Coturnix japonica: one gene and its partner. The protein of the gene in region 2 interacts with the protein of the main gene of each other region in a pairwise test. Links are inferred from orthologs where the notes say so. Each region holds a gene or a part of one and is shown on either strand. Other genes may lie near its edges.

What was found.
Region 1: the proteins of TXN (region 2) and FST interact in binary tests that used the Homo sapiens proteins (3 or more experiments, as listed by UniProt). The link is inferred for Coturnix japonica from reciprocal best matches to the Homo sapiens genes TXN and FST.

The regions. Positions count from the first base shown.
Region 1 is NC_029547.1:17,653,051-17,661,059, reverse strand, and holds the start of FST (follistatin precursor), read right to left. Parts: upstream 5,456-8,009; coding exon 5,374-5,455; intron 3,504-5,373; coding exon 3,312-3,503; intron 2,935-3,311; coding exon 2,716-2,934; intron 2,377-2,715; coding exon 2,152-2,376; intron 1,032-2,151; coding exon 801-1,031; intron 323-800; coding exon of another isoform or gene 321-322; exon of another isoform or gene 103-320; coding exon of another isoform or gene 80-102; coding exon 1-79. UniProt on the Homo sapiens protein: Multifunctional regulatory protein whose primary function is to antagonize members of the transforming growth factor beta (TGF-beta) superfamily including activin, myostatin, GDF11 or bone morphogenetic proteins (BMPs).
Region 2 is NC_029547.1:59,050,111-59,057,992, forward strand, and holds TXN (thioredoxin), read right to left. Parts: upstream 5,261-7,882; 5' UTR 5,060-5,260; coding exon 5,036-5,059; intron 2,839-5,035; coding exon 2,734-2,838; intron 2,177-2,733; coding exon 2,117-2,176; intron 1,411-2,116; coding exon 1,345-1,410; intron 507-1,344; coding exon 444-506; 3' UTR 270-443; downstream 1-269. UniProt on the Homo sapiens protein: Participates in various redox reactions through the reversible oxidation of its active center dithiol to a disulfide and catalyzes dithiol-disulfide exchange reactions.

The DNA of each region.
Region 1 (8,009 bases), about 41 Mb from region 2:
CACTCTAGAATGGAAGATATAGGAAAGCTGTAGTCCTGGTCTTCATCTTCCTCTTCTTCCTCTGGGTCTTCATTAATGGCTAGATGGGGGAATACAGGGGAGCTGTTGTTTAAATAAAGACAACAACAGCGCAGAAGCAGCTCAGTGCATGTTTTCAAAGCCCTCTGAACAGCCATAATACAGCGTTGCATTTTATGCGACTTGTAGTGAGATGCTCTTTGGCATCTGCTGTTATGCAATAAGGGTTTTTATACATAATCTATGAAGTCATAACTGCAGAAAGTTCTGAAGAATCAATGGCTCAGGTTTTATTGGCAGATTCCTGAAATCAAATAAAAAGCGCTCTTGTGTTCTAGGTTTAACTACTTTGTGTCCTTCATTCAGAGTTAGTAGAGGTAACTGTGCTAAACCAGGTGCCCATGTGCTACCACCAGGCTCATTCTTTTGGACAGTTAAGAGTTTACCGAGTGTTAATAAAGCAATCAGCAAAGCACACGAGAGCAGACAAATTAGGAAAAAAATCTCTAGCATTATGCTCCTAGGGCAACCCCTTTCTGATAAAATGACTTGTCCTCAGTAAGACCCAACACCCCAACTTAAAAGCACACTGGTTGTTGGAGATCTACTGCTTTTTATCAGTAACCAAAGTGTGCGCATGATACACCCATACTCACATGGCACATGTGCAACATCCTGAATCTCTAAATGGAGCTTTCTTAGGTTTAACGATGTGAGTATTTATTAAATAGGGATTGCCTTCAGAAGCCTTAGGTGTCTACAGAGATAAAAATCTCACTTACAGTTGCAAGATCCAGAGTGCTTTACTTCTAGAAGCACGCCCATGGAGCAGGCTGCCTCCTTCATGGCACACTCGCTCGGGTAAGTCGTGTTATCACTGGCACAGACTGCCTCGTCTGACTTGCTTTCAGGGCAGAGCTCATCACAGAGGGCACATCGACCTCTGCCAACCTTAAAATCCCACAAGCATTTCTTCCCAGCACTGCATTGAATATCTTCACAGGACTTCGCTTCTAAAAATACACACGGAATACTAGAGGTAAGTGAACAGACAAAGGAAACAAAAAAAAGCAACCCCTAACAGCCCCAAACTCAATTTTCCCCAATGAACTATGAATAGTCAAAGCTAAAATGCAGTAGCTGGGATGATTCTTGATGGTCTTAATCAAGTAGACCCTTGGATACCACTGCCTATCTGTACAGTAGGGAGAAAGGACAGGTGTGCCAGTGGACCTTGGCCCTAGCAGTATGGAATTACATTTGCCTATTGCACATGACCTTTCTGCTCCATTTCCTGTCAGTGGACATTCAGCTCACCAAATTAGTGATAAGTGGAGAATTTGTCAACGCATTCAGCATTTCTAAATCAATTACTTTTAAACTAACCCACATAAAGCTGCTGTCTACAGGATTGTTAAGGGAATTCACCTCAAGCTGTGCCAACCAAAAGCAGCCTGAGATTCTCCAGCATCTCAGCAGCAATTTGGAAGGGCAGAGGTTGCCCTAAAGTTGCTTCCTTGCAACATATTTCACTATCTCCTCTTTCTCAAAATCACAGTGCAAAATGTCAGGATGCACAGAGGTTATTTTACTATCTTCACCCGATAGCTGTCCCCAAACTCTGCAATATTTTTAAAGAGTAAAAAGTAATCAGATGTTTCCAATTAAATTAATGCAAGCTTTGCCAAGACCACTTGAAGACAATTGTTTCCAGGAATTCAGATCCACTGAATATCAAGACCTTGTTATGCCGTAGCCATGTAATTATCGGCCTAATGGTGGATACTTCTCTCTTGGACACAAATGTCAGCACCCACAGTCATGGCAAGAGGAGCAGGATCAACCCCTCTATGCCCCTTTTGCAGTTTTTTTGTTGGTTTTGTTTTTCCTGGAGCAAAGCTCACTCTGACTCTCGTTTCTTATGGAGAGGAAAACAAACCAAGGCTGCTGGGAGTCTTACCTTCTCCAAAGCACAAACTTACTCCCTCCTTCCCTCACTTCCCTCCCCCTTCAAACAATCCATCCACCCATCCATCCATCCATTCACCCACCCACCCACTTCCACATAACATGATAAAACAGATGAGTTTGCAAGCTCCCCCCTGCACTTATCCCTCTGGCCAAGATACCTACTGATGCATTTTCCCTCGTAGGCTAATCCAATGGATCTGCCCAGCAGGCAGGTCGCTTTTCTCAGGTGGCAGGCACTGGCATAAGTTATGCCATCATTCCCACAGAGATACTGTTCAGGGGAGGTAGGCTCAGGGCAAATTCGATTACATGTCACACAGTAGGCGTTATTGGTTTGATCCACCACACATGTGGAGCTGCCTGGGCATAAAACATCCCTACAGGTCTCTGAAATAAAGATGGAAACAAAAAATGATTAATAGAATATGTGGGCGCCCCAGTGAGGAGTGAATTGGTGACAGAATGATACAAACAATCGGACAAAAGCCTTCAGCATTGGTACTCATTTAAGGGCTGCTGGAGACCTTTCCATCTCAGGGTAGCATGAGGAACACAACTGCTGCTAAACTGTGAGGAACTCTCAATCAATCCAGCTATATCCTAGACTATGAGCATGGTTGGAACATCACTCTGGTTACTGTGGAGAAGCATGCAGCTCCTCCTCTTTACACTCACACACACATCCTATGCCATTTGATGGAAATTGGAAGAGATTTGCAAACCTACTTTTGCACTTGCCCTGATACTGGACTTCAAGTTCGGGCTGTTCTTTACATCTGGCTTTGAGAAGGGCACACTCGTTCCTGTAGGTTTTCCCATCTAAGCCACACACGGGGCCCTTCCAGGTGATATTAGAGCAATCTGGAGCACAAACACACCGAGGTTTGTTCTTCTTGTTCATTTTACATTTCTTCCCGGGTCCACAGTCCACGTTCTCACATGTTTCTGAAGGAAGGAAAGAGGCATAACTTTATTACCAAACATGCAGAAGAGACTTGTGTCAAAAGCGCCCAAAGCAAAAAAGACATGGAGACCCCCGGGCATAAAATGACAGCACCCCTCACACTGCTACCATGCAGGAAACAGACCTGGAAGGAAATCCTGGAGCCAGGAGAGCCACGTGCAAAGAGCCCCCTCCCCATCTCCCACTGACCTGTGCGGATGAGGAGCAGCAGTCCCCCTACCCCGGCGCTGCTTTGCGATGGCCCTCAGCCCTCGGCGGTGGGCAGCACGATTACAGCACTGCCGTCTCCAGGCCCTCATCTGGCCACCCCATCAGGCCACCCCAAGCCCGAGCCACCCGCGACTCCCGGCCCCCTCACCTTTGCACGGGATGCAGTTAGGGGCTCCCCCATTAAAAATCATCCACTTAAAGAGCGTGTTGTCGTTGACGTCCTCCTCCGTCCACGAAGTCGTCAGGCGGCCGCTCTTGCAGCACTCCTCTTTGCTGAGGTCGGTCTTGTAGAGGACCTGGCAGCGGCCGTTCCGTGCCTGCCGGAGCCAGCAGTTCCCAGCTGCGGGGGACAGGGGCGCACCGGGCCGGGTCAGTGCCGGGACCAGCGGCACGGGCACCGCGCGCGCTTCGCACTGACTTTTACTGGACTGCTGGCATTATTTGTCCCGTTCCACAACCCGCATCCGGCCCGGTCCGCTTGGGTGAGATAACAATAAATAAATCAGAAAGAAAAAGACCGGATCAAAACAGCACGAAGCAGTTTCCCAGGTCTTTACTCCATATGTAGAGCAGAAGGAGCACTGCCGGCACGTGACAGAGGCTTGAAAAGGATGTGCATTTAAAAGGGAATAAAAAGAAAATCGCGCTTGCAGTTCCTCCCTCCTCCCCCTGCCCTCTCCGACGCGGCCGCCCGGCAGCATTGTGTTAGTGCCGCACGCACCCCAGCCCCAGCACGTTTTGCAATCCGCACCGACTGGGAACATTCGCTGTGAGCGAACTCTTTCGAAATCTCCACATTTCGCTTCTTCTATTAACAAACGTCTTCCCTTCGCTAAAACAACTCAGCGGAGCTCCGACAACAAAGACAAGAAAAAAAGTCAGCAAAGTACACGAAACAGGAGGGCACCCCGATAGAGCTCCCTGCGGAGTTCTTCAGAATCGATCACACTGGAAAAGTAGGAGGTGCTGTCTCCCCCGCGAGCGTTTCAGAGGAAAGCACGCAGCACGCTGTCCTCAAACCGGACAGTGGGTTTTTTTTTTCCTTTTTTTTTTTTTTTTTTCCTTCCCCCACTGGTATCCCTGTTATTCGTGGAGTCAAGCCAAGAACATGAGTCCAAGCAACTCCCCCTGTTTTAGCTGGAGAGTTTGGGTTGGGATGAGCCTCTCGTGCATAACCAGTGTGACTCCACCAGCGACTCGATACCAATTGATTATGGTGCCCACCCAGCCAAGGCTCGATCCTGCTCCTTCCTCCAACGGAGCGCACCGCACCAGGGCCGGGCTCGGCCCGCCGGGGCGCCGCTGGGCGCGAGGAACATCCTCCCCTCACCCCTCCCGGCTACAAAACATGGAACAAACAACGCCCTTGCAGAAAAGAAAAAAGAAGAAAAAAGAAAAAAAAAAAAAGAAAGAAAAAAGAGTTTTGCGTCTTACAGTTGCCTACATTAACTATTGCTCTAACTCGGGAGGGGGAGAAGAAATGGGAAAAAAAAATGAAAACCCAGACATGCAGGTTGGGACGCAATCAGTATCAGGTGGAAAAAAAACAAAAACACCCCAAACTGCAAATCACTGTTTCCTAGTGTCGAAAGAGGGCTCTTAAGAGTTGTCAGTATCAGGTTCAGGATCGTTTTGTTCGCATGGGAAAGAATAATTAAGTAAGCAAACTTATTTAGGCACACTCCTCATAGCAGGAGAATTTACAACACTTATTCACACACACACAAAGGGGGTGGGGGGAGGGAAGGAAATCCCAATATTGAGGGAATGCCCGGAAAGTGACCACCACCGCTTCTGAAAGTGTCAGCTGTGCGCCCGGGGCTTCTGTCAGAAGGCGAGATAAAAATCTGAGTAGAATTACCAACAAACTTTGAGCACTCGCTCGGGACATGAGCGCAGGAAAGTTCCCCGCGATGCTGCTCCTCATTCACGCTGCATAATCACGAGGAGTGCCAAGAAACATCCCCCCGTGCCCTCCGTGCCCATGCGGAGCAGGGAAGGTCCGAACCGAAGGGGAACCTACGTGACATCTCCGCGCCCTGTCCCGAGCAGTCCCGCGCCCGCTGCTAACTTCTGTCCGTTCGGACCTTGGAGAGAGGCGTGTAACAAACATCGCAGCGAAGTAAGCAGCGCCCGAAAGACGGAAAATAAGAGTAATAGTAACAACACTAATAATAAAACACACTTCCGAATAAACGCTGTGGTCTTACCCAGCGCTGTGTGATCTTCCATGAAGTGGTAGAGAAACATCAGGAGTACGAGCATGCCCGGGTGGATCCTCTGATTTAACATCCTCAGCGTAGCAGGGAGTGAGAGAGACACAGGAACAGCGTGAAGGGGAGTAGAGAGACGGAGCGAGCACCAGCCAGCCTGCTTATGATCGCTCTATTGAATGAACGTCAGGCTCTGAATGCAGTCTCTCTTTAAATCTATACGGGGGTCTTAGCTGTCTGCGGTGGGCGGTCTCCTAATGTGTGTGTGTGCCTGCTCGGGGGTGGGGAGATTTAAAAAGTTCAGTGTGAATCAGGTGACATTTTCCACCTTCTGGAAACCCTCTCCAATTATCTGCTGGAGGTGCACGCACACACGCGGGCGCGCTCCCCCGGGCGCGCACCCGCGCAGCCCCGCGCGGCGGCGGCTCGGCTCGGCTCAGCACGGTGCGGTGCGGCCGGAGATCGCGCAGCCTCCGCGGGCGCAGAGCGCGGTCCCGGCGCGGGGGGCGCAGCTGGGAGCGGCGCGGCTCGGGAGCAGCTCCCGGCCGGGGTTCTCCCCGCGCGGCGGCTCCGCGGCTGCCATCCCCGCGCGGAGCGGAACGGAATGGAGCGGAGCGGGGCCGCCGCGGGCGGGGAGGCGGCCGGCGGTGTCGCGGCCGGGGCTCGGCCCCCAGAAACCCGAGAGGGAGAGAGCGATCAGCCGAGCACCAAACAAACAAATAAATAAATAAATGGAAAGAAACCAAATAAAAGTTTAGTACGTAGGGCTCTGCCCAAGTGACGGCCTTTTTCACTGGGAGCCTGGGAGGACGAGACGGGAATGGGGGCGACGTAGGCGGTCTCCTTTCAGAATCAGAAAAGATTGCAACATCGATAATGAACTTCTAGGGCACTAGTTTATTAAGCACAGTCTGGCATTATTCTCCTCTTAGAAAAGTTGGCGGTCGCTCATTTATAACATTTTTGGCACCGCTGAATGAAACTGAGTAGGCGATATTTCCTTTTATACAAAACGATTACTTAACGGAAAATGGTATTGTTTATTCAAAAGCTGCCTTTTTAATTTCGATTCTTTCGCTTTTCTGAGCCACCAAAGCACAACAGACTGCGAAGTATGCAGACAGGAATGCCCGGACAGTGCCGGGTCAGGGCCCGGTGCGCGCGGCCGCCCGCGCCTCCCCCGGCCCTCCCCGAGCCCTCCTCCGCGCCGCCTCCGCCGCCCGCCCCCTCCCCACAACTGCAAATAACTCAGCGATAACAGATTTTTTTCCACCAACTGCAGGAGATAGTGCTAATCTTTTAATAAAAGATCCCATTACAATGGGATCTGTCTGGACAGACTATAATAGATCCAGAAATACAGCCGTGCTAATATTAGAAGACAGTTGTTTGGGTGCCTCAGCCCGGGCCCGGGTCCCGCTTTGAAAGTGGGCATGAATCACAATGTCCCCGGTGCCACCTGCAGTCACACGCATTAAGCGGCAGACTGGTAAATGATTGACCTCGTCGCATTTCTCTCTCTCTCTCTCTCTTTCTCTCTTTTTTTAATCCTTCATTTTTTCCTATTTCTTCTTTTTTTACTCTTCTGTCTTATTTTCTTTCTTTCTTTTTTTTTTCTTTTTCTGTTGTTTGTTATCATTACGACCACTGTCCCGCCTGGCGCCCAGGCATTTTCAGCACTTCGGGAGCACCGCATCCTTTTAAATCTATCTTTCTCCCGAATTGGTGCCGCTCCCTCACTGTCCCTGCCTCTCCCTCCGCGCACGCAGCGCTGAATGCAGGGTTGCGTAGTGCCCTCTAATGGCAGATGGCATTAACAATTGACATCGCAGCACTCCGGAGCCGCGAGGGAGCCCTCCGAGGCCGCCGCTTCTCGTGGAGCGGACGGACAGAGCCCCGCGTAGCGCCCGGCGGCAGCAGCGCAGCGCCGCGATCCGGCCCTGGGCACCGTGCGGGCGGCACTGCGCTGAGATCTGAGCCTGCCGCTCGCCCCGAGCTCACCTTTCACATAGGCTCACCTTTCTCCTGTTTTTCTCTTCTTTTTTTTTTTTTTTCTTTTTCATTTTTTGGCTCCCCTCTCCAACTTTATGATGTATTTTTCTTTCTCTTTTTTCTTTCTCTTTCCCTCCCCTCCCCCCCCCCCGGCTCCCCCCAAAATTGGCCCATATGGTGTTTATCCTGAAAATGTTTTCAACTATTAGAGAGGCATTTTCAGGCCGTATTCCTGGAAATGAGATGCCGGATGGGTCAATAACGTTTGCACATGTGCTTCATGCGTGCATCATCGGGAGATCAATATGATTGCGCTGGTATGGAGATTTGTATCACACCTGTTCTCTGACATCACATAGAAACAGCTGCTGTTTCTTTTATTGTTTTGTTTTGTTGTTTTTCTTTCCCCCCTTTCTTTTTCAAAAGCTAAATTTTGGGTTTGTGTGTAATGACATGTCAGGGATATATTGTACAAACAGAAATGCTCTCTTCTTTTTCAGTGTGTCCCTCCCTCTTGAACTTCCCCACCTTTTTCTCCTTTGCCAACTATCACATTTAAATTACCAAAAAAACAATAGGGTTGATCTGTAAATGAATTGTCAGGCAGCACACAAAAAGAGTGTTGTTCTCAGCCTGTCGGA
Region 2 (7,882 bases):
GCCCTCACTGCATAAGCAGAGCTTACATCCAGAATTCCCAATGGCTTCTCCTCAGCTACCAGGAAAGAAGTCTGGCACCTTGCTACAGCAATTATCACTGCTGTCTTTTCCAACACTTAATTTTCCATTCTCAGTGATACCCTGTTATTAGATTCTTGCATTTGACAAGAGTCTTTGCATCCAGACAGCATTCCTTTAACACAGCAAAACGCAGCATTGCAGAGACATTAACAACTTGCGCATGTTTTTATTCAAACACGAGACAGTAACCAAAGGTGAAGAATTTACATTTTATTGTACTCATTTACATTGATCAGAGGATAGTTTCCATCAAGATAGATAGGTTAAATGGTTGGATATTTTTTTTTTTTTTTTGAAGTAGAAAAGTTATGGGCTATAAGTTAGCCGATCCCACCATACTCCAATGTCTCCATGGCTGGAGATTAGACTAGACTTTTAATGGTCTCTTCCAGCTTCTCTTTATTGGCCCCAGAGAATTCCTGCACCTGCAAAAAGAACAATTTTCAGAAGGGCTGCACTCAATGCCACGTAACATCTGGTTGCATAACACACAGAAATATGGGTTTATTTAACTCTGTAACCTCTAAGATTTCTTCAGGCCCAAAATGACACACACAAAAAAAGAGAAAAATCAATTAATCCTGTATCAGTGGTGTGTAAAAGTCATAATTGCAGCTCAGAAGGATTTTGGAGGCCACCTCCTGGCAGTAGCAGCTGAAAGCCACTTTGTGTTGCTGTGCACCTTGTCCTATCAAGCTCTGATAGAACTGCTTGGAGCAGCCTGTCCCTGCACCTGCTCTGTATCCCATCTATCCAGCTCACAGCATATAATGCAAAGGGGCTCTGTTCAGTCCTGCAACCTACATGGGGTCCCTCCACAGGTTTCACAGTCTGTGTGAAAACACTCAAGTAGTGGTTTCAGATGGGAGTATATTCAGATTATTAACTGATGTCAGGAGGGATTCTACACATATAGACACGTCCCTGCTTGAATGTGAACTGTGTACAGAGAATGAATGCTAACAGATCAGCAAAAGCAGAGCATTAGGGCAGTCTTGCACATTTAGCCTCACTAATTCATCATGAAGATCTGCCCATAAGACTGACCTGCAAGACTTAGTTCACTAGGTCTAATTAATAGAGTTTGCTTCATCAGTTGCATCTGGTCTATGCTGTATTTGCTGTAGCACTAAGATTAATTTAATTGCTCTTAGAAGTGTCCCAGTGCCAGTTGTGACCCAGATACATTATTAAGAGAAAGCAGACTATGTGGCCTAGCCTGCCTCTTCCAGGAAAATAAGTTCCATAAAAAAAGAAGCCTACCTTCTTTCCGTTCTTGTAGAACTGGAATGTTGGCATGCACTTCACGTCACAGTGTGTAGCAACATCCTGGAAGAGAAAGAAAACAGTCTTCAGCTGTGCATGTCTGAAGGACACCAGAATTTAGAACCCACTGGTTTCCTTTTGATAAGGAAGTTGGACAAAGTCATCACTGTTCAAAAAGAAGAAAAACATCTTTTCTAGTCCAGCACTGCAAAGGCAGTGCAATATTAGCATCTTTCTGAAACAAACCTAAAAGATCCTCCCTTCAGAATCTAATTCATACAATAAGAGCACGTGTTTACTGCATCCACACTGTGTTTGGAGAGTACTCAAGAACACTACAGCAATGTTGCTGTTTCAGCCTGAAATTGTTTAAGTACTCATTCTACACTACTGAAACTGCCATAGAGCAGACATCTTATTACACATGGTTCAACACATGAAAGAGGAAACAGTGCCAAGGGCAGTGGTGAGACCAGACAGTCTTGTACTTGTGTAAGCTATTAGTTTTAGGGGAGATTGCATCAAAACAGATTAAGGCTTTGGGAGGAAGTCTCAAGGGCAGAACACCAGTGTTCCCAAGTTATCTCATGTGTGCCATAGGGGTTAAGACAGTGCAGATAACTAAAGCAGTTCATTCTTCTCATGTACTCTAAACATTCATTCTTTTCTGCCTAGTTGGTGGTGCCCATCTCATTTTGTTTCAATAAATCCAAGGACACTCATTGCCACTTCTGTGGTTCTCCAAACCTACTATCCCTTTGGACCTTACCTGGGCATCATCCACATCGATTTCAATGAACACCACATCACCAAACTTGTCAGACAGACTCTAGAATGAAAAATGAAATTATGTAGTTACAGGTCCAGGAAAGCCAGTTCTCAAAAAGATGCATTCATAGAAACTGGTGCTGTCAGACTTAACATGTTACCTTACAGCAGCTGCTTTACTGACCAGAAATTAATTTCCAGCTCCATCCCCTGGAAGAGTCTGCTGAAGCACCTAAGCATAAGGGAAAGGCCTTTCCTTCCCTTATGGCTTCCCCCTCAACACATAAAGATGCTACAGCTTAACTGAACGCAGTTTAAATAATCAGAGCCAGCATATATACATTATTTCAACTCCACTGTTGCCAGTTCTTGTGGAAATGCACCAGCTAGGTCCCTACAGACTGATGCATCAGCACACCAGGACAGACAAAACGCTACAGTGTGTTAGTTCCCCGCTGTGTATCCAAGTGCTTTATTCAATAGTTACCTATCATATCCTTCTAAGATTCCTCCTTCAGGAAAACACACCATAGACAAAGAAGGTTTCCACCATATTAGAAGTTGCACAGAAGTATTTCTATATACTTAAAGTTACTGTGAAAGACAAAAGCTACTTACATGGAAAAATGGCTTGATCATTTTGCATGGTCCACACCATGTGGCAGAGAAATCAACTACTATAAGCTTCTCACCAGCAGCTTTCAGTTCTGCCTCAAATTCGGACTGTAAAGAAAAAAGAAATCAAAACATTAAGGATTTCCCCCCTCATTTGCAAAAGGTTCAAGACTAACCCCCAAGTCAGCTTTCCCTTAGCTCCATCAGCACTGCATCCCCCACTGTCTTCTGATGAATTATGAGTATCAATTATGAAACATCACAATGCTCAGTCACTGAACTGTGGAAGTTTATGTAGAACTCAGCATGAACTGAGACCGTAAGCTAAACTGAGTAATGTTACACTTCTAACGTGATCCTGACGGTCCTTAGCATTCAGTTCTAATCTCCAATTTAATAGGATGTCGTCCATTTTCTTCTAGGATTCCTCAGAATCTGAGGACAAACTTCCACAGTTTCATGGTCTGATACCTTTCCCAAGCAATGGTTAGAATCAAGATGTTGCGTGGTTTACCCTACAGCATGTTTCCTAGAGCAACAGCTTCATCATATAAATATTTTATTATGCCAAGTAAATTGGGGTGTAACTCCAGTACTCAATGCAAAGCTACACAGTCTATGCCAGTAACAACTAACATTTAAGGTTAACAGAGATATCTCTGTTGCACTTTGTTACAAGAGACATTTCTGGACATCACGCTTTGCATTTCAGAGCTCCTTATGTGCCGCTGTTTTCAAAGAGCAAATGTTTCAACAGAAGTGTAAGGCACTGAAGGAAAGAAATATTTGCATGCTAAAAAACAAACAAGTATCTCAGGCAGAGCAAGCAGAGGATGCTGATCCAACACACAGGCAAGGGTGGCAGCAAGAAGTTCTTCCTCTCTCTCTTCTTCTCCACCACTGTGCTAATGTGGGGTGTATTCCTGCATCCCAGTCTCTAAAGCACAACACTGCCTCCAGCAAAGTTCAGCGTTCACATACACAGTAGTCCATGCTATCTGCTCCCAGTGGTTACTTAAAACCATAAGGCTGTTAAATAGAGCCTCACTCACTCCCACCTCCAAATCCCTGATTTCTGGCATATATTCTCACAACTTAGTGCTGTAACAGCCTTATTAATATTAATTCTACCTCCTGCACCCACCAATTGGACTATTTTCCTCAGTCCAAATGACTGATTGCTGTACCCTGCATGAGGAAGGCCATCCCTGGGACGCGCTGATCATATGACCACACATCTCAGGGCAATATTGCACAGAACAAGGGCAAAGTGGGAGGACATGGCACTTCCTGCAGATCACAACCCATACACCACTGGAGATCTGAGCACTGCTCTCCAGCTGCAGCCAGGCGTTACCCTGTGAGTCATCCCTAGAATTAGCTAAAATTGCTACAGGCAGCCTGAGAAGAGACACGAGGTCCAACGGTGTTACCCCTGAGATACCCAGCAAGGGGTAAGTGTTGGTATTTTTTCCTCAGAAAACATTAATATCCCTGAAGTAAGGAATACAGCAGGAAAACTGGCTGACCTTTCTGACTTCTAGTCTTTCTGCAGTAAGTATGGATTAATAAGATTCATACAGAAATATCTCCATTATCAGAATGGACACCTCCCCCTGTTAGTCCACGTGGCTACAGCTGTTAGAGGATCTCACAGCTTTTTCAGCAATATTTTCCTTAGTCCTCTGGAGGGGAAAAGCCCATAAACACTTTTCAAATACCCATCTGGTGCCTCCCTGAGGCCTCGGCCTCACTTTGCTGGGCGCAGCAGGCAGCATTATGTTAGCAGATTTCAGTTTCCAAGGGCCGGCTGCGAGAAAACAGGTGGCAAGGAGAGGTTCAATGCAGCAGGGATTCCCAGCAACCCAAAATGGAGGCCACCAACCAACGCCGTAAGAAATCCACCGCCCTCAGCATAGCTGGGACAGCCTTAATACAAGACCCCAGCTATAAGCACGATGTCTGACACCCACCGAGCCGCCCTTGGGCCGTGCTGATCCGGCAACCTGATCTAGTAAAGGCGTATGTTTGGTGGCCCTGCCAGGCAGGGGGGTTGGAACTACATGATCCTTGAGGTCCCTCCCAACCCGGGTCATTCTGTGATCGCGGCCATCAGCTGACAGCCAAGGGTCAGGGCGACGTGTTGCAGTTTAACCCGCTCCCGCAGTGCCCCCTGCGGCCGGAGCGCAGCCGCCATTGGGGAGCGGCCTCAGGCTCAGCGCACACAAAGGAGCGCGGCCCAAGGCCCGGCGCCGACACCAAGCCCCCCTCACCCACACCCCACCGTGCCGCCCCATGCACTCACCAGGCTGCCCACGCTCTTCACCATGGCGGCTCTCACTGTGCTGTACGGTCACAAGGCGGACAACGGGCTCGTCCCCGCGCACGCGCGTCCCGCACGCCGCTGCGCTCTCGGCTGTGTCTATACCGGTCCTCACTCCGCAACGCCAAACCAACGCTCTGCCGCCGCCGCCCCGGGCCTGCCCTTATATAGCCACCGCTGCATCGCGCATGCGCACTGAGCGCTCAGCCCATCGCCGGGCCACGCCCCTTCCCGCCCATGGCGCGGGTGACGTCACGAGGCGGGAAGGGGAGCGGCCGTTATAGTTCTTTCACAGGGCGGGGGTTGGGGGGAGCAGCGAGAGGGGGGAGAGGAGGGAAAATAGGGGGAAAAAAAGAAATAAAAAAAAAAAAAAAAAAAAAAAAGAAAGAAAAAAAAAACCAACCGTGTGACTGTAAGAAAAAGTGCTGCGTAACGCCGAGCAGGAAGTGGCGGGCAGGATCCTGCCCTGGAGGAGGGGAGGGGGTGGGAACCCGTATGGGGGGACTCCTCCTGTTTTATTTCTCGATTCTGTTTTAAAATCGTTTTAAAACTGGGTTTTTTTTCTGCCTCCAGCACCCATGTGCTGCGACACGGGCTGTGTGCTGGCCGTGCCACGTGTCTGCCTGTCCCCATGTCCGTGTGTCTGTCCCCTGTCTGCCCATGCTCCATATCTTCCTTTTCCTTTTATTCCCAGCCCCCTTGGCTTGTAAGAGACCCCAAAGATCATCCAGTTCCTGCATGGGAACCAACGGCTTCCCCTAGTTCAGCACCATCAGAGGACAATCAGTGTGCACTCAGCTCCCCGATAACCCACTGAAGAGACTGGACCTTAAATGGAGCCAATGCAGGACCCCACTGGTGACAATCTGCCATGTAACCCCATTAATACAACCCTCCAGTCCTGGCCCGTCAGCCAGCAGTTCTCCCAAGGCATTATACAGTGTCTAAGTGGCGCTGGACTTTGTGACCAGAGGATACAGTGAGAATCACACAGTGCAGCAGAAGGGCCAGTTTCACAGCAGATCCAAGCCTGGCCATGTCACAGAGGGCTGGGCACGTCCGGCATTAAGCAATGGTGCAGACAGCTGCCAAAGGGAGGAAGCTGCTGGAAGAACTGCCTGCAGCAACAGCTGCACCACGTTTTATCGCAGGAGAGACGGGTTATCTGCAGTGCATTACCACGCTGCATTTCATCTGGCCCTGACAGTCTTTAATGGTGCTTTCCCGTTCCTTGCAGCCTGCTCCTTGGGAGCACTCTTCTGTTGTAACTGACCCATTAAAGGTGCAATAAATATTTAATAATTAGATGGGTGTGCTGGGTGTCTGCCAGCCATATGCGCAGTGCACACAGAGCTCTGCTCTCACTGGTGACGTACCCAATCACCCAGCCTCTCTTGAACACTTGGCAGAGCACATCTGGTTGAAAGACGGAGGAGAAGCCATTGAACAATGACAGAAAGGAGGGGGAGAGCACTGCCACATACTGTACTTTCCAGGAATCAGCCCTGTGCTTCCAGGAAGCTGGCAGGAAGCAGGACCATCCCTGGGCCACCACAACCTCTGTGTGCCATCCCAATGCACATCCCATGAGTGATGTTCACAGGGTTCTGCAGCTGCCCACTCCCCTTGGTGTTCTGTGCTAAAAGCAGCGTGCAGGATCCATGCTCAGCACAGATGCATTGCACAGTGATGCAGGCAGGTTTCAAGGTGCAGTAATGCTTAACTGCTTTTTGAAAGCTTGGTAATAGAAGTCAAAAATCCACACGTGGCAGTAACCAGCTCATGCAGTTCCATTATCTGCTTCTCTGGCTCCCACCATTCATTGTCTTAACATCAAGTCTGATCTGCACAGAGGATGATGTTTTCTCCAGTGCCTTTTGAAGGGAGCCTCTATTGTGGAGCAATGGGTGGTAATGTGGGTCTAGTTCTTCACTTCTGCTTCCAGTCCAAATTACAAACTGGTGCACAAGTACAAGCTTTGCTTCTGAGTGCCTGACATCCATCTCTTTTCACATAGCTGTTTTGCTTTGTTTTTCTTGTCAGCCTTCCATCTGCCTTGCTTTTCTCTTCATTCTTGACCTCTCCTGTGGCTTTTGCCTTTGTGTCTGTGTGCATCCATCTCCTGCAGGGTAAGAGATGTCAGTCCTCCTGGCATTTCTTCTGCATGATGTGCAGGGCAAGCCAAGGACTATGACCTGGCGCAGGTGCTTTAGTACAGTTCAATGTGGTTTGCATGCAGAAGCCAGAGACCTGTTCAGGGCTGTATCAGCAGCATGTGATGTTCCCATAGCCCCTTTCCTTCCAGTGCTGCGCCACAGAGATTAATTCAACCTCAGGGTCCCTAAGCTCAGAGGGGTGGCACAGTGCTCTCCACAGGGAACAGCAGCCTCAGCTTTGGGTTATCTTCATAGATGGGAGAGGCAAGTGTGGTATCTCTTGCAGGACCTCCATATGGCGCCCCCATGTTGTGGTTTAACCATCATGTGGCTGAGCACCGGGAGCCCTTGGCTGAGAACAGCCTTGGCTCTGTACAGCACTGCTTAGCAGCAACTAGAAACATCCGTGTGTTATTAGCATTGTTTTTTTGCTAGAACCAAAACACAGCAGCATTCCAGACACTCTGTCCCAGCTGAAACTAAGACAATATCCACCCTTTATTCCATACCATTTACATCATGCTCAGATCCCACAATTTCTACACATCCTAATTACCATTCCCTATCTTTTTTATTGTTTTTTTTTTTTTTTTTTTTTTTAATATATATACACACACATTTATTTTCAGTAGTCTATGAGCCACCCATTTAAATTGTCCATGGTATTCATTTA